Oryctolagus cuniculus: one gene and its partners. The protein of the gene in region 2 interacts with the protein of the main gene of each other region in a biochemical or structural test. Links are inferred from orthologs where the notes say so. Each region holds a gene or a part of one and is shown on either strand. Other genes may lie near its edges.

Region 1 (4,298 bases), on a different chromosome or scaffold from region 2:
AGCAAACCAACACGCAGTCCAGACCAAAGCAAACTCTCAGCCTACGTGGGAAAGTGTATACAGGCACCGATTGAAATCACAGTGTAAAAATCATCTCATGGAAACAATGGTTTTGAATATGTAATCAAAAACATGCTGGAAACAGAAAAACATAACAAAAGAACTCCAAAAAACAGGGGAAACTATCTGAAACATCTTAAAGATGACTTTGTAACACGACGGCATGCAAAACTGCTTTGGCTATGCAAAAAAAAATAATAACAATTTTTTTCCAGGACAACCCATTTTTTTTTGGTTCAGACAACACAACCAAGTCTTTTCTGGTTGAATCCTTGATACTGAGTTAACACCTGGCTCATTGTTAGAACCAGTGGATTTTTAGGACAGTTGGAAGAGATACATAGTTAGAATTCCTTAGTCAATGATTCTATCAATAAAGTGCAATCTGATTTAATAAAAGAACAAGGTGTCAAAACATTCAAGACGAAGGGACTGAAAATACAGTTCTCATTGGTCATGTCAACAGCGACACCATTTCCATCTACTGGATAGAAGCACGATGTGCTTTTCTCAGAGTTTACACTAGGAAAAAAAAAGCATTTTTATTTTAACCAGATGTGAGTGAATTAAACCCAATATTTTCAAGTATTTTTAGCACCCTATGATGTCATCTGATTTTATATTTTCTACTGCGGGATAACGTGTGTTTTTAAAATTGTGAAACCACTTTCCACCTATGTGAAGTGTCATACATGAGAAATTACAGTAAACACGTGACAACAGCGCAGGACACACTCTTCGGCTGTTCATGGCAGAAGCCGAGAGAGAATTTGAGATTTTCAGTGGGAAGTGGAATTCACAGCAAGTGAACCTTCTTCCACCACCTCAACGCCCTGGTCATTTCAGGGCAGGGACCTGCCCCTTCCTGGGGAGACTCGACCCAGTCTCAAGAGCCAGCGTCTTCCCTCCCATCGCGGATTGTCCCCGTCAGGCCCACGCAGGACACAGAGCCCACTGCCACCGCCCGGACGGAGCTGGGGTGCCCGGGATCTCGTCCCCCGGGGCGGGCCTGGGAGCCAGGACGGCCCCACACCGCCCAGGACCAGCCTCCTCCCCGTCGCCGGGGGGCAGCGCCCTGCCGGCCAGCAGTGGCCGCGCCCGGGGGACCCGAGGGTGGTCCTCACGGGCGCTGCCGAGCCAACTTGGCGGCGTCTCGCCCGGGGGAAGGAGATGTCTTAAAAACCATGGAGAGCTTTGCCAAGGCAGCAACCGCGCGGCGGTCGTCGCGAGCCTGCATCTCGGAAGCCAGGAGAGACGACGCCGCCGCCCCCCGCCTCGGCCCACCGATGCAAAAGTCAAGTTAATGTAGCCGCGCGTGGACGTCGGCACCCCGAAGGGCTGGGGTGAAAGCCGCGACTTCAGAGCAAACCTCCTCCTCCTCCTCCACCCCCGGCACCGCGCACGGAGCCTTCCGAGCGAAGCCCCCCGGAGGGGTCGCGGCTGGCTGGCAGCTCCGCGCCGGGCGGAAGACGTCGCTGTCGCCGGGACCCTGCCCGAATTTCTCCCCCAGCCCTCACCCCGGCCCCGGGCGTGCGTGCGGGAGGCGGCAGCCGTGGACGCGCGGCCCGCGCGGTGAGGGGCGCCGGCGTTTCCAGGGGGGCGAGGCCGGCGGGCGGGGAGGAGAAAGTGGGAAGCGGGGGCCACAAAGTAGGCGGGGAGGAGAGGCGGGCCCTGGCCAGGGAAAAGGAGGCGGTGGAGCGAAAGGTAGCGGAGAGCGAGCAGGTTGGCGGGCCGGCGCCGGGCCGCGGTGAGGACGGCGCGGGGGCGGCGCGCGGGAGGGCGGGGAGGGCTCTCTGTCACTCGGGCGCGCGGGGCGGCTCCCGCAGCCTGGCCCGCGGCGGCCGCGCCTCCGGCCCCCAGCCGTGTGTCCGCGCCGGCCCCGGGGCTGCCCCCCGCCCGCGCGCGCCCGTGGGGGGCCCGGGGAGCGGCGCCCGCGGCTCGGCCGCATTGTGACGTAGCGGGGCCGCGGCAGCGCCTCCGCCGCCCGCCCGTCCGCCCGCCTGGTCGCGCTGTTCCAGCTCCCGCCGCTGTCCGTCCGTCCGTCCGTCCGTCTGTCCGTCCGTCCGTCTCTCCACGCGATCTCCCCCCACCCCGCCACCCCGCCACCCCGCCACCCCGCGGTGAGTCCGGGTCCCCGAACCAGCCGCGCGATCGATCGGTCGAGCCTTTTCCAAGTTTGCACCAGGCGACCCCGGGCGGTGTCGCCCCTTTGCTGCCCCAGCCGCGGGCCCCCTTTGTGCCGCGAGTGGCGCGGGCCCTGGGCGGGGAGATCGCTATAGTAACGGCGGCGGCGGCGGCGGCCCGGCGGCCGCGGGATTGTGCGGCGCCTCGGCGCGCGCCTCGCGGGTTATTCTTCTCGCGGCCGCCTCGGCTCGTGTGCGGGCTGCGGGCAGGGGCGGAGCGGCGGCGCCCGGCCGCCGAGCGCGGGGCTCGGGACAGCAGCAGTGCCCGGCGCCAGGGTCCGCGGCGAGGGGCGCCGGGCACCGGGCGCGCAGCCCCCCGCCCGCACCCCGCGGCCCCCCGGCGCCCCCGCCGGCGCGGTCCTGCGCCCCGGGCGCGCGTGGCGGCGCGGGCGGGGACCGTGTCGCTGGGCCTTGGCTCCGGGGGCGATGACTTTCCCGTGCAGGTGGTGGTGAGTGGGGGGCACCGGCTCGGGGGTGTGGGGGGGGCTATTGTCAGCTGCCACGTTTTGTGTATTTCGTTTTGACGAAAAGAAAAGGGAGAATTGCGAGCCGCTGCTGGCAGCCATACAGTTTCCACAGGAAATACTAGCATTCTTTGAGGAACACGCTGCTGCTCGCGGGGAAGAAGAAAAGTCTTTAGGAAACAAAAAGGCAGCGGCATTGTTGCTGGTTTCCAGTGGGCCGCCGGGAGGGGGAAGCGCGTTGTTTTTTCCTGTGGGAACGTCGTCGCTTTCCTTGGGAAAGTTCATTAGGGGAGCCTGGCAGCGCGGGGCCGCGTTTGGCCGGCTCGAGGCCGGGCGCTCCTCTGGGCGATGACTGACAAGTGCCCATCAAAGAGCCCCGCTGCGGGGCAGTGTCGCCACACACCACGTGCCGTGGAGCGCGGCCAGGGCGCAGTTAGCAGACACATCAGGGCTGCCTGGGGAGGTTGAGGAGGGCTGCATGTGTGTGCAGGCCGTGTCAGGTCTCCCAGGTGTCAATCCACACACTTTGCAGACACTGCTTTCATGCCTCAATCCTAGGCAAAAAAAAAAAAAAATATATATATATATATATATACACACATATATATCTTTTATCATGGAGCATGGAGTGCTGACCCCAGTTCCCATTTGTATTGCGTTTGTACATCTTGAAAATTTCATTTTATTTTATTAATTTGTTTATTCATTTGAAAGGCAGACTCACAGAAAGAGAGGGGGAGAGACAGAGATGTCTTCCATCTGCTGGGTCACTCCCGAAATGGCCCCAGCAGCCGGAGCTGGGCCAGTCAAGGCAAAGAGAAGAAGGTACAGGACCCAAGTGTGCTAATGTATGCATTCTTTGAGGGTGGGCTGCCTTCTCTTTTATGATTTTTTTATTTGAAAGGGAGAATTATGGGGAGAGAGCTTCCATCTACTGGTTCACTCCCCAAATGGTCACAAAAGCCAGGGCTGGGCCAGGCTGAAGCCAGGAGCCAAGAACTCCATCCTGGTTTCCCACATATGTGGCAGGGGCCCAAGCGCCGTCTTCCACGGCCTTCCCAGGAGTGTCACCAGCATGCTGGTTGGGAAGTGGGACAGCCGGGAGTTGAACCTGTGCTCTGGTATGGGATGCTGGTGTCAGGGACAGTGGCTTAACACCTGCCTCTAGGCTGTTTCTGATGCATCTCAATGTTAATGTACTTACAGCTTGGTTAGGGGGTAGGGAAACACCTTGAATGTGTTTCAAGTTTTACGCCTCTGGAGGGCGTAGTAATCAGTGACCGAAGATGTGTGACTTCTGGGTATGGAACCAGAAAAGATCTGAAGATATTAAGGATCTTTGGACATCACAGAAATAAAATACTGAAAGGATTTAAAAAGAAGGGATGTTGTTTTGAATATAACTTTTCTTTTTTCCATAGTAAGTATTTTGTGGGGGAGGGAAAGGCTGTAATATAGTAAATTGGGAATGTTTTAGTAATTTGACATTTACTGTTTGTTGGTGTTAAAAGGAAGTGACCAGAGCAAATGAATTTCTCTGCTCTATCCCATCTTTGCTAGTTGCAGGCCCTTACTGTAGTGCAGGTGTACA
Region 2 (4,294 bases):
ATCAAACCAGTGATTCATGTAACAGCATGAATGAGTCTCAGAAATACTATGCTAGAAGAGAGAAGTCAAATAGGAAATAAAGTTCATACTTTATGATTCCATTTTGATGAAGTGTTAGAATGTACACACCTAAGAAGGGTCCATGGGACCTTTGTGGGGTGATGAAAATGTTCTGGGTTTTCCAAATAGTGCAGATTTTTCAAAATGGACACATAGCGACACTTAAGAGCTGAGCATTTACTCTATGTAAATTATAACCAAGAATAAAAATTCTCAAGTGCTATGGTGATTATTGTTTCATAATTTACATTTTGTGAATCCATGTTGAAATGTTTACAGATAAAATATGCATATAAAACTTGGAATTTACTTAAAAATGAAGATTGGTAGCGATAAAGTGGAGTGTTTATAGTTAGATATGATTAGGCAGGCATTGAAACATTGTGAAAGTTGGGTGATACTCATGTGAGAGTCTTTGATTCTACTTCTGTACATGTCTGAAAATTTTCCATAATAAAAAACTGAAAAGAGAGGGATCATCTAGTTCACCTCCTCATTTACAGGAGGAAAAGCTGTAAACAGGAGGACATAACTTGCTCACGGCCTTAAAATCAGATGGCAAACTAGCTCCCGTGTCTGCTTTCTTCCTCTGATCCCAGGAAAACAAAATATGAGCGGCTGTATCGTCCAAAGGCTGTTTTTCAAAAGGGAGGCAAGGAGTGTGAGGATCTATTAAGTGATAAATACTTGTGATCTAATTTTCACATTTTTTTTTTCTTCGGAATCTATCTGTATCATTTCTTTCTACCACCATCCCCTCCCCTTCTTATGTATTGGTTGTCACCTGTCATCTATCCATCTTTTATCTAACAATCTATATATTTAGCTATCTCTATCCTTTCTATGTAGTCGTTAGCTTCCATCCCTTGTGGTTTCAAGTTGTGCTTTATAGGTGGAAAGCACATCTGACTCAAATTTCAGAACCCAGATGCGTGCAAGCGGCAGAAAAACAGAAACAGACCAAGGAACAAACGAGGCAGCAGAGCCTTGTTCTCCCCTCCGTGCTAAGCCCATCTCCAAGAACCGGGCCAGGAAAGCAAGGCCTTCTGCTGGAGGGGGGGAGCCTGGTTCTCCCTTCTGGTGTGATCTAGGAACAGCTGTTTTCCACCCAGCACTGACAAGGGTGAAAATGCGTTAAACGACGCAGAAATCGGCGGGGGCTCTCTCGCGTGTGCCGTGTAAGGGGAGGGGGTGTCAGCTCGGAGGGCAACGTGCACCACGTTGGATTTGCCTCCTAGACCTTGTCCTGGGGTCTGGAAACGAAGCCGCGTTTCCAGAGCGAAAAGCCTTGGGGCCGCTCGCTTTCGACGGCTGGGGAATATTTATTGCCTGCTTCACAGATGGGGAAAAAAAAAAAATCAGCTTCTGGCAGCCGCTGATTGGTGGAAAAGAAAATGGTGAGAGCCTGGTAGGGAGACGATTTGACGAGTCCCCTCGTGCCTCCCGAACCTGTATCTGTTGCTCGGTGGTCCCCAGCCTGCCCGCGGGACCCTTTCGGGCTCACCCGGGGTTAAGCGAGAACAGAAAACCTCGAGGATGTTCGAACAAAAGCGACCCTGCACGAGGCGCCCCTCGGCCGTGTGCTAAGTGTCAGGAAGCGGGCTGACGCGGGGCAGGTGCAGGCGCCCCCGCCGCGCCCCGTGTCTCCTCCGTCCGCTCCCGGAGCCAGGCTCGGCTGCGACGCCCATTCCTCGGTCCCCAAGCCCCAGGGTTAGGCTCTGCTGGGAGCGAGGTCCCCGAGAAACCAGAGGAAAGGAGACAGCGAGGGAGCGGGTGGAAAGAAGAGACCTCAGCCCGAGCCAAAGCGCTCCGGAGGTCCGCACGTTCCCGGTGCCTCTGAGCCTGCGGTGAAGCACCGGGCCCCGCGCCTTTACGCCTCCCAGGCCGAGGCGGCCGGCTGCAGTGGCCGGGGCCACCTGCCCCGCACCCCCTCCCCACGGAGCACGAGAGCCGAGAGCACGCGCCGGGAGCGCAGCGAGCGCGGGAGAGGGGCGGGGAGAGGCGCTGACAAATCAGCCGTGGGGGCGGTGAGTCGAGGAGATCCGGGCGCCGGAGGAGGAGGTGGAGGAGGACGGCGAGGAGGAGGACGGCCGCGACCAGGGGCCCGCGAGCGGGACGACGGCGGAGCGGGAGTGTGTGCTGACGCGCAGCGAGGTGTGTGCTTGGCCTCTGGGCAGCCCCGGGACGCAGCCCCGCCCTGCGCCTACCTCCAGCCCTCCGCCCGCCTTCCCTCGCGACCCTCGCTTTCTTCCTCCCCCATCCTCCGTGCGGGGGACGGGGAGTGGCAATTGGACGCGAGGTTCGCGCGTGTGCCTCCCACGTCCCCCGCCTCCCGTCGCTGGCTTGCGCTGACGGCAGCCTCCTCTGGGGATCATCCGTCTCTTGGCGCCGCCTCCGCCCTTCCTGTGCGCTCCCGTCCCCTCCCTTGGCCCGTTTAAATAATATTTGGCACTTGTTTAAATTAAAGGGAAAGGGGGGGAGGGGAGGACTCGGAGTCCCGGAGAAGCAGAGTTCTCGGGTGAGTACCTGTGGCTCTGAACGGGCAGCTTTGGAAATCGTGGAGAAACCCGGGAAGGCAGAGGAGCCGCCGCGGACGCGGGGTGGTGGTAGGGTGCACCCCAGGACCGCGGTGTCCAGGCTCTTGGTGGGGCGTGCAGGTCCCTCGCGTGCACGTCAGGAGTGGATGTTGACCCAGCTCTCCCCGGCCTCCCCAAAGGCTGCGAAATCAGCGGCTTCTCCGGGGTGCGTTTTCCCCGCGGAAGCGCCGGGTGCTGGGTGGAGCAAGAGCATCCAACTTTTCTTCTCTTACGGTAACCGCCACCCCGTAGGCCGCTTTTTCGCTGTTTCCCGAGAAGAGAGGAAACAGCTTTGGCCAATTTCTAAATAAAGTGCAGAGGGGACAAGGCAACAGGTAGGAAGGGGTTAACAGGTGCAGGCGCTAGGTGTGCTTGGGGGTGCGGTGCGGCTGAGAACGCCCTTTAGTGTGGCTGGCAGGGGTGTGGACGCTGCCAGCGGGTGAAGACCAGCGCCTGCTCCGGATAGATAGCAGAGGGCGGAGGTGGAGGGCACCGTGGATTCAGAGGAGCGTCCCCTGGCTCCTTCCTTGTTGTCTTGCGGTTTAACCACATGCAGAGTGAGTAGTGCTCTTCCCTCCCCTGGGATCAACCTGTTACCCCTCTTCTGGGATTCATTTTAAGGATGCGCCTGGCCATGGCCCCCAGCTCCCGTCCTTTTCCTGAGGTCTTTCCTCTAAACCTCCTGCTGACTTAGAGGGTCACCCTTTGGACCCTGGGAAGTTGGAAGAAGGGCGCATCTGTTCCTGCCACTCCACTTCTGAGATGCAGTAAGAACAGCTCAGATGCTCTCCCTGGTCAGCATGAGTCAAGATGGATGGGGGAGGAGAAATTCCTAAAGCTAAAGCTTAAGGGGAGTGGGCTGGGGTGGGAGTGAGGGGCGGACTGCTTTGTCCAGGTGGTTGAAATGAGGGGTCACGTCAAAGAGTTTTCACGCTTTTGGGGATTTCTACAGATTTTTAGTGTTTTCGTTTTCTGTTTTGTTTTTAGCTTGGATGGTTTGAATTTTGCTTGCTTTTACCAAAAAGTTCTCACTCAGCATGTATTTTGTGTTTTCCAGTGTGGTGTAAAGGAATTCATTAGCCATGGATGTGTTCATGAAAGGGCTTTCAAAGGCCAAGGAGGGAGTTGTGGCTGCCGCTGAGAAAACCAAACAGGGTGTGGCAGAGGCTGCAGGGAAGACAAAAGAGGGTGTTCTCTATGTAGGTAGGTAGCCCCCCCACCTCCCATGTCATTCTGATACTGGTCCCTGATTGATTAGTTACAATGATGGATACAAGAATGCTGACATTTCTCACGTGATTCGTTCTTGCATCATCACTTGTCAAAAGGATGGATTGAGTCGGAGGACTGGGTAGGTAGGTGAATGTGAAGGTGTATGTTTGAGCTAATCGTGAGAAAATGTGGCTAATCTTTTGTTTCCCCAGATTTTTAAATGTTGCAGTAACACTTAGAACACTTAGAACTTTTTTATCCTTTTTTTCCCCAATGAATGAGTGGCTGTATTCAGAGGGCTGTTTGGAAAACTTAGTCCTTTTTTAAAAAATTAAAACATTTCTAATGATCAAAATAATTCATCGACTATTGATCTCTTTTATCATGATGAATAATATTTACTAATTTTAATGTCTGGCAATTATAAAATAAGACTTTGATACAGC
Region 3 (4,148 bases), on a different chromosome or scaffold from region 2:
GGAGAACACTTTGGCCACATTTATGAAAATTGTAGTTCATTCAAAAGTTTTCTCAACCAATCTTGGCTGTGGATATCCTTTCTTTTCCTGAGTGTGTGCCTTTATTCATTCCACACATCTTTGTTGTGCGAGCTCCTGCTGCAGCCTGCAGGTGCATTGGTCAGCAGCTCGGCCCTTCACCAGGCTCAGGAGCAGACAAGAAGCCCACTGTCCACCTGCTGGCTCGGTCAGTGGACTGCGGAAAGGTCAAGGGGCCAGAGCAGAAAGCCGAGCCTTCTGCACACGTGTGGTCAAATGTGAAGCAGTTCCGTTCTCTCTCTGAGGCAGCCGGGGCCTTGGAAGGCGTCCTGCCTGGGTCACAGCTCTGGCTTTACCATTTCCTGCCTTTGTGACCCTGGAAACATCACCCAAAGGCTCTAAGTACTCAGATGGGAGAGGATGGTTTCCAGGTTTACGTGTGATGATGTAAATCAGAACAGCAGCACCATGTCTCGTGGGTGCTCGCTGTTACTAAATGACGCCGAGTGTGCGTGAGCACCAAGACCATTTGGGTTAGGTTTTGGTAAAGAACAAGAAAGAAGCAAAAATGACACTGCAGGTGCAGTAGCTTTGACCTTGGCCACAGGTTGCTGAGCGGAGAAGCATCCCTTATTCCCAGCTCTCTCTGCAGGTTGCCACCTGGGTCCTGGAGACAGCAGGCCAGACTTGCGTGGGGCCTGGCCACCCACCACGCTAGCTTTGACTGGGATAGCCTGCTTGACCCTCATGGATTCAGCCCCTCGTTTGTCAAATTGGGATGCTAAACACTGTGGGGTTGCCGTGAGGATTAAATCACATATTGTAAGTGTTTAACCAGGAGAGAGTGCCTACAAATAAATGCAAATAAGTGAGAGGAGCATTCTCTTCATTGCATAATTTTTATCATTACCATTGCTATAATTAGGCCAGGACGATTCCTGCAGGCAGGGGTCTTGGTGAAGATGTGGTCTGCAGGTGTGGGAATGCCTTTTGTAGAGATTAGGAACTCTTGAAAGGTGTTTAGAATTGTCCTTTCTTATTTCAGAAAAATAGCCAAGAGCCTTTTCTTCTTCTAACAGGCCTGAGTATCGGGGGTAGAATAATGCAGAAACTGATAATATCAGTGTTCCGGAATTTCCAGAAGAGCATGCTAATTGTTGATGTTGCACAGCTCAGTTCAGTGCATTCTAAGGCATTATTCTTTCAATGAATTCTTGCTCATTTTTGAAGTACTGTGTGCATCCCTTGCAGGTAAACCCATCTAATCACAGACTCCTGTTTGAAGTTTTCGACGAAAATAGACTGGTAAGTAGGTCTCCACTTTTAAGTTTTGGAGCAGCATCGTTCAAATGTTGTATTTGTGTAGAGCTTAGAACACTATGCACAACCCAAGGGAAGACCATTTTTATTTTACTGCCGGTAAAGATTCTGTTTTTGTGTTGTTAGGGCAGTGGAGTTATGGGATGTGTGTATTTTCATCACAGTGAGTATCAGTGGCAGTCACTGGTGATGGTTTCAGTCTGTATGCTTAACACAGTGGTGCTGGGAATATGTACCGGATGTGGGCAGATTTGTAAAGGGGCCATCAGGCGTGTAAGCCAGCCTTGTGGGGTTTTAAAAGTGGAAGCCAGACTACAACATTGTGATGCCATTAATAGTAAATCTATGGTGATTCTAGGAAAACAAAAATTAATTAACAGTATGTAACATAATGTGAATCTATACTTAGCAGGTGAAATGAAGTTGTATTTTTAAAGTGGTACTTTCCTAAGAGAGAACCTTAGTACTTTTAAAAAACCAAAGATATGCCCGAGGCATATAAATGGTATAAGTGAACATTTTATATATAGATTGGTGTGTGTGCATATTACGTTCATGTGTATGAAATCTGCGATTTCATTTTAGAAGCAAAACCTGGCTGAAGCAGCTTGCTTGCTTAACTAACCAGAACGTATCCCTCAAGTTACCTGGGAACCACGTGTTCCCTCTGTGACAGTGAACACCATCACGTAAGGCCTTCCAGTACCCTCTGTTACAACCCAGCGCACTTGGCTGGATTGAAACCTACCTTTCCGGAAGCTTACGTATGTTGATTGATGAAAAGGAACGTTCTTATGGACCCCTCTTTCTCCAGAATTCAACTGGCACTCCAGATTACGGAATACATCAGTCAGAGCAAGTGCCAGGTCCAACTTTCTGGGCTCCTAGGTCTCAGCCCCGTGGTGCAACAGCCAGCTAACTGACCCTTGCTAAAGACTTTGGGAGGATGCTTGATCCCATATGCTTGGGAGTATTTTCCAGAAGACCGTGGTCAGGTTAGGGTTAGCAGTAGTCAGGTAGCAGCAGGTCCCTGCACTCTGGGAGACGCCCATGGCTAATCCTCACCTTCCTGAGTGTGATGGCTTTTCATTATTTTTCTTGTGTTACGAAAAATCCACTGTTTAAAAGTTAAGTTTCCATTTCCATGGTCTACCATAATGCCTGTGGTGGAGCCAGCCTTGCCATGGGTGGGAAACTGCGTTGCCAGTCTTCAGAATGGGCTTCGAATGGGCAGATTTGCGGAGATCCTGAGTGACGACCCCAGGCTTTATTTGAAAGGTTGTGTCTTACTAATTCCCACCTCTGCCCCCAAGGCCATCTGTAGTGTTGCTGATGTTTTTTCCTTTGTTGGCTATAAATGCAACAAAGATAATCCATGTCTGTAGCAGCACTTGGAAGTCTCAGCCTTAAACAAATGAGTTCCCATTTCTCTCAGGTCATTTTGGGCATGTAAGACCCATGCTTTGAGAACACACTTGGGGTGTGTGTGTAAACACAGGGTTAAGCCTCCACACCCTGGGCTCCAGAGCTGTTGACAAAGTCATGCTTTGCAGATTTTAAAATAAACTTTTTGTCACTCTTCACAGCTTGGCATTTTTCCCTCCTAATTTTTTTTTTACCCCCTCCTAAATAAACCTTTGTTAAATAACTGATGTTTCTGGGTCATAGAAAAGTTAAGTTTAAAGCGCTCAGAATATTTCCCAGCGAACTGCAAATCTGATGACAGCTTTTTGAATGTGCACTTTTATTTCTTAGGTCCCGTCTGGCTCCTTGCACACATATCAGGATTCCATGTTGTAGCCCAACTGTGGCAATGTTGCCGACTTTTTACTGGAAAACAGCTCCCCTAAAAGCATTTCTTCTGGATGGTGTTTAAATTACCGCAGAAACCCCATGCACACCACGGCTTGATTTTTCCTTCTTTTTTTTTTTTTCCCCCAATCCTACCTGGCATGTGTAAGCAAATATTTTCACCAGCTGAGTTCCTGTCCTTTGCTGCTTCCCCGTCTGATAATCATAATATAAATGAGGGGAACACACACATGCACACACACAGGCCTTTTAATTGAAAACTGTCCTAACAGCAGGCGGATGGGGCCGGCAAATGGCCGTAGAGCGAGTTGTGCCCCTCTGTCTCTCCACGGAGCTATTTTGTTCCTTGGAGATCACGGTCTAATTATTTCTCAGGAGGGGGACCCTGATTCGGTGGGGGCGTGTAATCGTATTTATAGTACGTTTTACGAGTTTGCATTCCGGCATCGTAGGGTAGTGATATCATAAATAACAGAAACACAGCGCGCACCGCCTGGGGAAGGGGTTCCCCCCTCGCGCAGCCCCCGCCGCGTTTCCCTGTCGCTGCCTGGGGTGGTGGGAGCTGGGAAGCCCCGTGGGCGCTCTGTACGCAGTGCAGGGCCCCCGGCGCCCTCCGGACAGTCCCAGGGCTCCGCTCCGCTCCGCTGGGAGAGAAGCGTCCTGCCAGCGCAGTGCTGGGAGATTTACAGCCCAGGGTCCCGGTGCTTGCTGCCCTAGGCAGCTGCGAGAGCTCCCTGCTGGGGCCACTCCTTGCTGATGGAAAAGCAACAGCTGGGAAGGTGCTGTTTCAGGCCCTCGCTGTTTAAAAAAAAAAAAAAATGAGGAGGAGAAGGGGGAAACCGCACTAAGTCCACAAGCTGGCATTGGAGGGGGAGCGCGCGGTCATGTGCTCCTGGCCACCCTACCCTCGGCCCAGCGCGGATGAGAGCTCCTTGCTCTTATCCAATCATGCCTGGAATGCCGCTTGCCACTTGGGTTATTTCTGCTATCTGTCGCTC
Region 4 (4,235 bases), on a different chromosome or scaffold from region 2:
GGAGGAAGAGCCCCTTTCCGTGAGATAAGCGATTCTTGACTAAACGGAAGCTGGAGTTCTAGCATATGGAAAAGATTCTAGTGTTAGCTCTCATTCTGTTTCCTGGGACGATGGAACGAATTAGTAGACACAACTGAAACATGGCTTCTCATTTTGTTTAAGGAGAAAGAAAAAAAAAAGTCACCACTGTATACTATCATTTTGAGTTAGTTACTCAACTTTGCTTTCCTTCAATTTCCTCATTCACAAAATGGAGATGGTGTAATGTTAGTAAATTTTTCAAAAAGGGATTTTTTTTGTTTACAAAAATGACCGACATATTTTAAACTACAGCAAAAAGAAAAGAAGTGTGCAGGAAAGCAATGGTATAGATTTTGAGCATAGATGCAGGAGCTGATTCACTATATTTCTAAGAACGTGTGATTTGCTGAGAGGGAAGGATATAAGGTTCTTGCCAAAACCATTAAGAAGAACGACTCCGAACACGCCTTAAAGCAGAACTTTCAGTAAACAGGAATTACCTATAAAGAAAATCAGGAAGCCAACGTGTTTCTTTTTATGAAGTGACATCCTGCCATAGAAAAGCTGGATAGGAAATAAAGGCTGATGCACTCCCAGCTGTATACGAACCCGCCTATTATTTCATCAAGGAAAATCCGAGCAGACGCCCAGACTCAGTGGAGGGAAAAACACAGGAGAAACCAACGACAACCCACGGCTACAATTAGACATGATTTGGGGAAAATGCACAAAGAAACCTCTGCTCTGTGATTTCGAGTTCCCGGGTCGTCGCCCACCCCTGCCCTCGTTTAAGCAGCACTGGCTCCAGACTTTCGCCAGAAATGCGAATATGTGTGTCCACGAAAACGGGGGACCCACGGCAGAACCCGAGTTTCGTCTCCTCTTCTTTCGCGTCCTCTGTTGCGCGTTTCCAGGGCTCTCCGGGGCTTCTCCAGTTCGATCCGAGGAAGGGCTGCAGTCACCAGCCTAACGCTCCTCCGTCTTACCCCCCGCCCTCAAAGGGCAAGGCTCTCCCGCCGCAGGCTCCCGTGGTCTCGGAGGAGTGGCAGGTGCCAATCTGTAGTAGCACCTGCATTCCTCTGCAAAGCAGAAGCCGCGATTCCCACGGACGCTCTCCCGCCCTGATCTTCCCCTAACTCACAGCTCCCCAGTCTCTAAAACACACCCGCACCTCCTCCCGCGCACCCTCCCGCGCCCCCACCCCGCACGCACGCCGGGATGCCGCTGCCACAGTAACGCTCAACCCTCTCCGCGGCCCCACCCAGGGCCGTCCCGCCCCCTCCGCACACACCAATGGTTGAGGCTCGCATCTCCCACGGGGCCCTCTGATAGGACGGCGAGCCTTGCCACTCTCGGGGCCGCCCCCGCCCCCTGCTCGCTCCCCTCTGGAGCCCGAGGGCCGGAGCATCAGCGGGAGTCGCTGCGAGCAGCCGCGGCGGCGGCGCGTCTTTGCAGTTGCGCCATCTGTCAGGAGCGGAGCCGGCGGGGAGGGGGCTGCCGCGGGAGAGGAGGAGGGGTCGCCGCGAGACCAAGGCCTCCGAGACCCGCCCGCCGGCCGGCCGCGGGAACAGGGGCGAGGCTGCGCTTGGAGCCGTGCGTCCTCAGCCGCCCGGGTGCGGCGCTTCTCCCTGCGCGCCCAGGACTCTCCGGGCGCACACAAAGCCGCCGCCCGCGCCGCACCGCCCGGCGGCCGCCGCCCGCGCCAGGGAGGGATCGGGCCGCCGGGCCGGGGACCCCCGCCCCCCGGCGCCGCCCCCTCGGCGCTCTCGAGGGCCCACCCGGCAGCTGCCTGAGCCGCCAAGGCCGCGCCCGACCACGGCGAGGAGAGGACCATGTGAATGGACTCCGGAGCCTGGCGCCGCGCAGGTAAGCGGCCGCAGATGCGGCGCGGGGGGCCGCGGGATGCTGCGGGGACCCCCGGCCGCCGGCGCCCCCGCACAGCCGCCTCCGCCGCGGTGCCCGGCTGCTGGGCCGTGGCCACCGCCGCCTCCGGAGCGCCCAGCGGGGCAGCCGCGCGCGGGCGCGCGTGCGGGGGGTCTTCCCGCGGCCGAGCGAGGCCACCTCTGCGGGGCGCGGCCCCGAGGCAGCGTGGGGATGGGGCCCTTTCCTTGCCCGCGAGCGGGTGCCGTGTGAAAATCGGAATTGACCTGGGGGCGAGGCTAGCCCAGACTCCGCCCCCGCCCTCCTTTCGGGCCCCCCGCGGGAACCGGGCTGTGTGTGTTGTTTAATGTCGGGGATGATGTAATCACTTAATAATTGATGCCCCGTGCTGCTTCCCTCCCCACCCACCTCGGCCCCACTCCACCTCGCGGTCCCCGCCCTCGGGGCCGTCGCCTTCCCCTCGCGTCCTCAACCCACTCCTGGCACCTCCCGCGCTCCGCCATCCTCCCCTTCGCTCTGCCAGTGCCACCGCCGCCCGCCTTCCCTGTCCCCTCGCCTCCTGGACTCCCGGCCCCCCGGCCCCCACCCCTGCTGCTCCCTGGACCTCCTTTCTCCTCCCCTCCCGGCTCCCTAGCTGCATTTCCTCCCGACTTCCCTGGATCGATGGCTGTTTTTGTTTGGTCCCCTCCCCTCTCTTATCTCTGCGGCCACAGGCCAGGCCGAGGGGACTGGGCCAGAAAAGAGGCCACCCAGCCAAGGCCCAGGAGAGGATTTGCTGGGACTCACTGAGGAGAGGGATAATAAAATCACCCTTCTGGCTCCTCCTTCCCCCAATAAATCACCCAGACCCGCCGTGTGTGAGTGTGTGTGTGTGTGTGTGTGTGTGTGGCACAAAGAGCCCTTTCAGTGCATAGAGGAGACACACAAAGTACCCAAGGATAGGCACGATGCTTCTGGTTTCTCTTCCCCGGGGCTTCCCTTTCTTGCTTATGAAGCAGTCCATCTTCTCTCAAGAGTCTTTCTATCCACATTTACCAAAAAATAAATAAATAAATAAAAGCCCTCCAGATGCCGGCTGGCAGGTGCGGGCACTTTGGTGTATTCACAGACTTGCAGTGTTGACTGGCAGCTGCAGGATTTCTTAGATGTAAGAGGACAGTTATTCCAGCCTTCTTGAAGTTGCTTTACTCTTAAGGTCCCCACCTCCGTGTGTGCCCCCCCCCCCTTTGTGGGGTAGATAACTAAAAGCTGGGGTGGAAGGAATTTGGTGTGGGCTCAGAAGAATCTTGTTTCTGAATCAATGAAATTGGTGTTGACAAGCTGACTCTCTTCTTCGCAAGTCTCAAGCCACTGTCCTAATCTTTTGAAATGAGATCTTGTCTGCCCAGAGATGTTGTTTCACCCTTTTATTTAAGCAAGTACCTGAGAACATCAAAACATTGAATTGGCGTTGAGGAGACTGGAGACTGTCTCTTGCCTGCTTCACAGTAACCTTCAGACACCCACATCCTTCCTCTCACCACCCAAGTTACTGCAGTACTTTCCACCCTTCGTGTCTTTCTCCCCGGTCCCTGCCCCCTGGGTACCATGCTTTCAGATGGAGTCCTTGCAGCTTTTGGAGGAAGTGGTTTAACTACCTGAGCCTCTGCACAGGGGATGTAGATTCTTTTGAGTGAACTCTGATAAACCCTCTGATGTTCCTCTGAAAGAGGAAATGTTCATGTAAATCTGGGAGCTTTATATTCCATTCTGTAAGCCGCTCTGGCACTTATACACTTAGCTGATATCAAAATTTTGGTCTGGCCCGTTCATGGTCAAAAGCATGGCTCCTTAACTATTGTAAATAGCCGAACTATCTCAAGTTTATTCTTCAAGAATTTATTAGGGAAGAGCGGTTATGATTTGTTAAACATTTACTCCTGTACTTTCTAAGGATTTAAAAAGAAAAAGAAGCAATAGAGCTGGCCAGCACCATGGCTCACTTGGCTAATCCTCTGCCTGCGGCGTCAGCACCCCGGGTTCTAGTCCTGGTTGCCCCTCTTCCACTCCAGCTCTCTGCTGTGGCCCAGGAAGGCAGTGAGGATGGCCCAATTGCTTGGGTCCTGCACCCGCATGGGAGACCAGGAGGAAGCACCTGGCTCTTGGCTTTGGATTGCACAGCACACTGGCTGTGGCAGCCATTTGGGGGGTGAACCAACAGAAGGAAGACCTTTCTCTCTGTTTCTCTTTCTCTCACTGTCTAACTCTGCCTATCCAAAAAAAAAAAAAAAAAAAAAAAAAAAAAAAAAAAAAAAAAAAAAAAGGCAATAGAGCTAATGAGTAGATTGTATAGA
Region 5 (4,033 bases), on a different chromosome or scaffold from region 2:
AAATACACAAGGCTTGGGGTAGGGGGAGTCGGCGCTGTGGCTCAGTAGGTTAATCCTTCGCCTGCAGTGCTGGCATCCCATATGGGCACCGGTTTGAGTCCCGGCTGCTCTACTTCCGATCCAGCTCTCTGCTATGGCCTGAGAAAGCAGTGGAGGGTGGCCCTAGTGCTCAGGCCCCTGCGCCCATGTGGGAGACCCGGATGCAGGCTCCTGGCTCCCGCCTGGCTCAACTTTGGCAGTGGTGGGCATTTTGGGGAGTGACCCAGTGGATGGAAAGCTCTCTGTGTCTGTCACTCTTTCCAGTAGTGCATCTTAAAAAAAAAAAAAAAAAAGGAGGCTGAGCCCCATGGGAGGAATCACGCGGAGACCCAGCAGCTGCTGTGGAGGTGGTGAATTTTATTAAGGGGGGGCGTCCACCGGGGCGGGGAGGCGGGGCGCGCGGGGCGGGGGCGGCCCGCGAGGCGCTCACTGGTTCTCGATGGGCGCCGCCGCGGGCGCCTTGCTGGGCATGGCGGCCTGCAGCTTCTCCACCAGCCCGGCCCACTGGCGCTGCATGTCTTCCACCAGCGGCTCGAACCAGCTCTTGAGGCGGGCCTGGAAGGCCTCGGCCTGCAGGCGCATCTGCGCGGCCTGCTCCTCCACCTTCACCCGCACCTCCTCCACCTGCTCGCGCACCTCGTCCAGGCGGTCGCGCGCGCGGCTGCCCACCTCCTCCAGGTGCCCGCGCAGCCGCTCGCCCCAGGCCTGCGCGCGCTCCCGCAGCGGCTGGCCGGCCAGGGTGCTCACGGTGGCGGCCCGCAGGCGGCCCTGCTCCAACAGCGGCCCGAGGCGCTCGCGGATGGCGCTCACGCCGCGCTCGGCGCCTTCGCGGGCCCCGGCGCCGTACACCGCCATGCGCTTCTGCAGGTCCTCGGCGTCGCGCAGCAGCCGCTTGCGCAGCTTGCGCAGGTGCGAGGAGAAGCGCGCGCGCAGCTCCTCGGTGCTCTGGCCCAGCATGGCCTGCGCCTCGCCGCGGTACTGCGCCAGGCGGTTGCAGACGTCCTCCATGTCGGCCTCCAGGCGCGCCTGCGCAGCCTGCAGCTCCTTGGACACGCGCGCCCGCGTCTCCTGCGCCATGGGGCTCAGCTGCTCCTCCAGCTCCGACTTGTAGGCCTTCACCTCCTTCATGGTTTCTTCCATCAGCATCCTGCGGGGCCCAGGGGGCGGGAGGGCGGGCGTGAGCTGGGGAGCCAGGGCTGGGTGCACGCTGGCAGCGACCAAGGGGCCCCAAGGACCAAGCGAGGCCCAGAGGAGCCGGCGAGGAGGAGGGGGCTTGGGAAGGTGCGAGACAGCCGGAGAGGTCAAACCGGAGTCAGGAGTGGGAAGAGGACGCAGGAGCAGGGCCCCCGACCCCAAGGACGCAAAGGCATCTAGACTGGCCGAGGGTGCAGAGGCGCCCCCCGCCGCCCCCCAGGAGGCTCCTGGTCAGGGCGGGGACACTCACGTCAGTTCCTGGGTGACCTGCGAGCTGAGCAGCTCCTCCTGCACCTGATCAGACAGCGACTGTACCCAGCGCAGGTAATCCCAGAAGCGGCCCAGGGCCAGCTCCCAGGGCTGGCCGGCCTTCCACCTGGCCTGCTCCGGCACCTCCACCTCCTGCTCCGTCTCGGCCCGGCATCCTGTGCGGGAGCAAAGTGGTCAGGGGCCGTGCGGGGTTCGGGCCGCGGGGGCAGAAGCGGGTGGGGTCTCCGCTCAGTCGGCAAACACTGATGGGCCTTGTGTGCATTAGGAACTTCAACGCCCATTTTATGGGTGGGGAAAGCCGAGGCCCGGGGGAGAAACAGCGGCTCAGAACCGCAGCAGGCCTCAGAGGTCTCAGCTCGGCGCGCCTCCTCCCCAGGACAGGGGGCTGGAGTGCGGGCAGGGGCCGCGCAGCAGGGGAACCCGAGAAAGCCCCGCCCCCATACCTGCCAGGATCGCCGCCGCCAACACAGCCCACCACACCTTCATCTTCCCGCCTGCGGTTGGTCAGTCTTGGGAGGAAGAAACTGTCAATCAACAGCGGAGGAGGACGGTCCCCTCCCCCCCGCCCCGGAGCCCAGCTCCGGCTGCGCCCGGGCCCAGGATCCCCAAGCCTCGCCCTGGCCCCTGTCTGTGACAGCCTTAGTCCGATCACAATCATTTCACCAAGCCGCCCCTGGGGGGCTGCACAGCTCCCGCATTGTCTGCTCCAGTCTCCCCATCCTCCGGCCGGCTCCGGGGCCAGAATTCCATCTCCCTCTCCCAGGGGTCGAATTCCACTCCCCCAGCCCCCCCACCCCCGAGCTTTCTGGCTCCAGGCTGGGCTTCTTGAGTTCCATGTCGCATTCCTCGTCCCGCCGTCACATTCTAAGCTCCAACCTCACGTCTAAGCCCTACTTGCCATGTAGGAGCTGATTGAACCACGGTTTTTAACAAGTCGGTCTTGGGACGTAGTCCCTGTTTCCCGAGACCCCAGTTGCGGAGATGGGGTGCCGGGAAGGACAAATAAGTGGCAGCAACCGCCCCAGGGCTCGCTGTGGCTCCAGCTGCTGCCCCACCCCAGCCCCAGCCAGGATGGGATGTCCCTGCCTGAGGTCCAAGCCCTGCTTCCAGCCTCAGCCCTGCTCGGCCGTCCTTCTGTCCCGACGCAGGCACAGGCCACCACGTTCTCTCCCACAGCCCGTCCCCAAGTCGCTCCCTTGCCCTTGGACCCCCCCTTTCCCTGGAGGCCCCTCAGCCCCCCGCTGTGCTGCTCACCGCCTCCTGCGGAACCTCGCCTGCACCTCGGCTGGGGCAGAGCAGGGCGGCAGGGATCCCTGACGGGTCCAATTATAGGGCTCCCCCTGCCCCGCCCCTCCCCGGGGCCAGGGCGGGCTGGGCCAGCCCCCAGTCACGAGGTGGGCTGTTCTCCCCCCTCGCACACAGCAGGGCGAGGAAGGAGGTGGGGCTTGGAGGCCCCGTGACCCCCGCCCCCAGCCCCTAGGAAGGGAGGGGCGCCTCCCTCGGTGTCCCACGTCCTCTCCACTGGGGTGCAGGCGGGGACTGGGCCGGCTGCTGCTCCAGCACGCCTTCCCTGTGCCCGGCTGGAACTTCTGGGTTCTGGGAATGGATGGGGCTTAGGACCCCCACCCCCCAGGGCCTGAATGAAGTCGGAGTGGAGTCTGGACTCCCGGCTTAAGTTAGGGCACAGCAGGAGCCCAGGCAGGGCTGGGGGCAGCGTGATGAAGGCCAGCGTCCCACGGTCAGGGTTTCTGTTCCAATTCCCTCCCAGGCGGTGCAGGTGCGAGCCTCTGGGACCCCCCCCCTTGTTTACTGAGATCGCAGCACCTGGCTGGCAGAGGTGGTGGGCCCGCCCGCCAGGAGTCACCCACACGTCCTCTTCCTTGCAGTTTGCAGGACTGTTGGGGCTTGCATCCTGGCACTGCGCGCTGCCAGCTGTGTGACCTTGGACAAATGACCTCCCCTCTCTGAACGGCCAGTTCTTTGCCTGCACAACCAGGCAAGCAGCGGCATGCGCCCCGCAGGTTTGGTGATGCAGGAGTGAACGGCGCGTGCCGAGGCCAGCGCCCTGCACACGGTGGGCCCACACCTGGGCAGCCTAGCGCGCTCCAGCAGTCACCTTCCCATGGGCTCCTGCCCCCAGCTGTCCCAGGGACTCAAGGCCCAGGGCTGGGTTGGGGGCAAAGCCGCAGCAGGCACTGGCAGTCGGCCCTGTTTCTCAAGGCGCAGGGGAGGCGGCCTCCCCAGGTAACTCGGGGACATCACCCAGCAGCCTCCTCGCCAGGCCTCGGGGCGCGGGTTGGCCAAGTGCTGACAGCGCCTCCTGCGAGGCGAGCGGGGCCGCACCCCTGCACCGGGACTGTGTCGCTCCAGCCCCAGATGCAGCAGTCCCAGTAGCTCTGCTTGAGGCTCCAAAATTCCAGACCCGCCTCTTCTGGAAATCTGCGGAGGCCGGGGGCCCAGTTCCCTGCCCCGTCTGCACGCAGCCATCCGCTGCCTCAGTTTGCAAGGACAAAGTCCCCCAGGCTGCGGC

What was found.
Region 1: the proteins of SNCA (region 2) and SNCAIP form a complex in vitro, tested with the Homo sapiens proteins (3 studies listed by BioGRID and IntAct, with this or other methods). The link is inferred for Oryctolagus cuniculus from reciprocal best matches to the Homo sapiens genes SNCA and SNCAIP.
Region 3: of the proteins of SNCA (region 2) and NEDD4L, one has a biochemical effect on the other in vitro, tested with the Homo sapiens proteins (3 studies listed by BioGRID). The link is inferred for Oryctolagus cuniculus from reciprocal best matches to the Homo sapiens genes SNCA and NEDD4L.
Region 4: of the proteins of SNCA (region 2) and FYN, one has a biochemical effect on the other in vitro, tested with the Homo sapiens proteins (3 studies listed by BioGRID). The link is inferred for Oryctolagus cuniculus from reciprocal best matches to the Homo sapiens genes SNCA and FYN.
Region 5: the proteins of SNCA (region 2) and APOE form a complex in vitro, tested with the Homo sapiens proteins (2 studies listed by BioGRID and IntAct). The link is inferred for Oryctolagus cuniculus from reciprocal best matches to the Homo sapiens genes SNCA and APOE.

What each region holds. Positions count from the first base shown.
Region 1 is NC_091437.1:12,007,095-12,011,392, forward strand, and holds the start of SNCAIP (synphilin-1), read left to right. Parts: upstream 1-1,496; 5' UTR 1,497-1,632; intron 1,633-1,731; exon of another isoform or gene 1,732-1,807; intron 1,808-2,037; exon of another isoform or gene 2,038-2,180; intron 2,181-2,547; exon of another isoform or gene 2,548-2,692; intron 2,693-3,318; exon of another isoform or gene 3,319-3,532; intron 3,533-4,298. UniProt on the Homo sapiens protein: Isoform 2 inhibits the ubiquitin ligase activity of SIAH1 and inhibits proteasomal degradation of target proteins. Isoform 2 inhibits autoubiquitination and proteasomal degradation of SIAH1, and thereby increases cellular levels of SIAH.
Region 2 is NC_091439.1:75,753,340-75,757,633, forward strand, and holds the start of SNCA (alpha-synuclein), read left to right. Parts: upstream 1-1,486; 5' UTR 1,487-2,214; exon of another isoform or gene 2,215-2,971; intron 2,972-3,005; exon of another isoform or gene 3,006-3,403; intron 3,404-3,693; 5' UTR 3,694-3,718; coding exon 3,719-3,839; intron 3,840-4,294. UniProt on the Homo sapiens protein: Neuronal protein that plays several roles in synaptic activity such as regulation of synaptic vesicle trafficking and subsequent neurotransmitter release.
Region 3 is NC_091441.1:20,111,254-20,115,401, reverse strand, and holds the start of NEDD4L (E3 ubiquitin-protein ligase NEDD4-like), read left to right. Parts: upstream 1-1,339; 5' UTR 1,340-4,148. UniProt on the Homo sapiens protein: E3 ubiquitin-protein ligase that mediates the polyubiquitination of lysine and cysteine residues on target proteins and is thereby implicated in the regulation of various signaling pathways including autophagy, innate immunity or DNA repair.
Region 4 is NC_091436.1:59,710,847-59,715,081, forward strand, and holds the start of FYN (tyrosine-protein kinase Fyn), read left to right. Parts: upstream 1-1,433; 5' UTR 1,434-1,887; intron 1,888-4,235. UniProt on the Homo sapiens protein: Non-receptor tyrosine-protein kinase that plays a role in many biological processes including regulation of cell growth and survival, cell adhesion, integrin-mediated signaling, cytoskeletal remodeling, cell motility, immune response and axon guidance.
Region 5 is NC_091449.1:11,763,898-11,767,930, forward strand, and holds APOE (apolipoprotein E), read right to left. Parts: upstream 2,801-4,033; 5' UTR 2,758-2,800; intron 2,028-2,757; 5' UTR 1,990-2,027; coding exon 1,947-1,989; intron 1,659-1,946; coding exon 1,484-1,658; intron 1,187-1,483; coding exon 466-1,186; 3' UTR 377-465; downstream 1-376. UniProt on the Homo sapiens protein: APOE is an apolipoprotein, a protein associating with lipid particles, that mainly functions in lipoprotein-mediated lipid transport between organs via the plasma and interstitial fluids.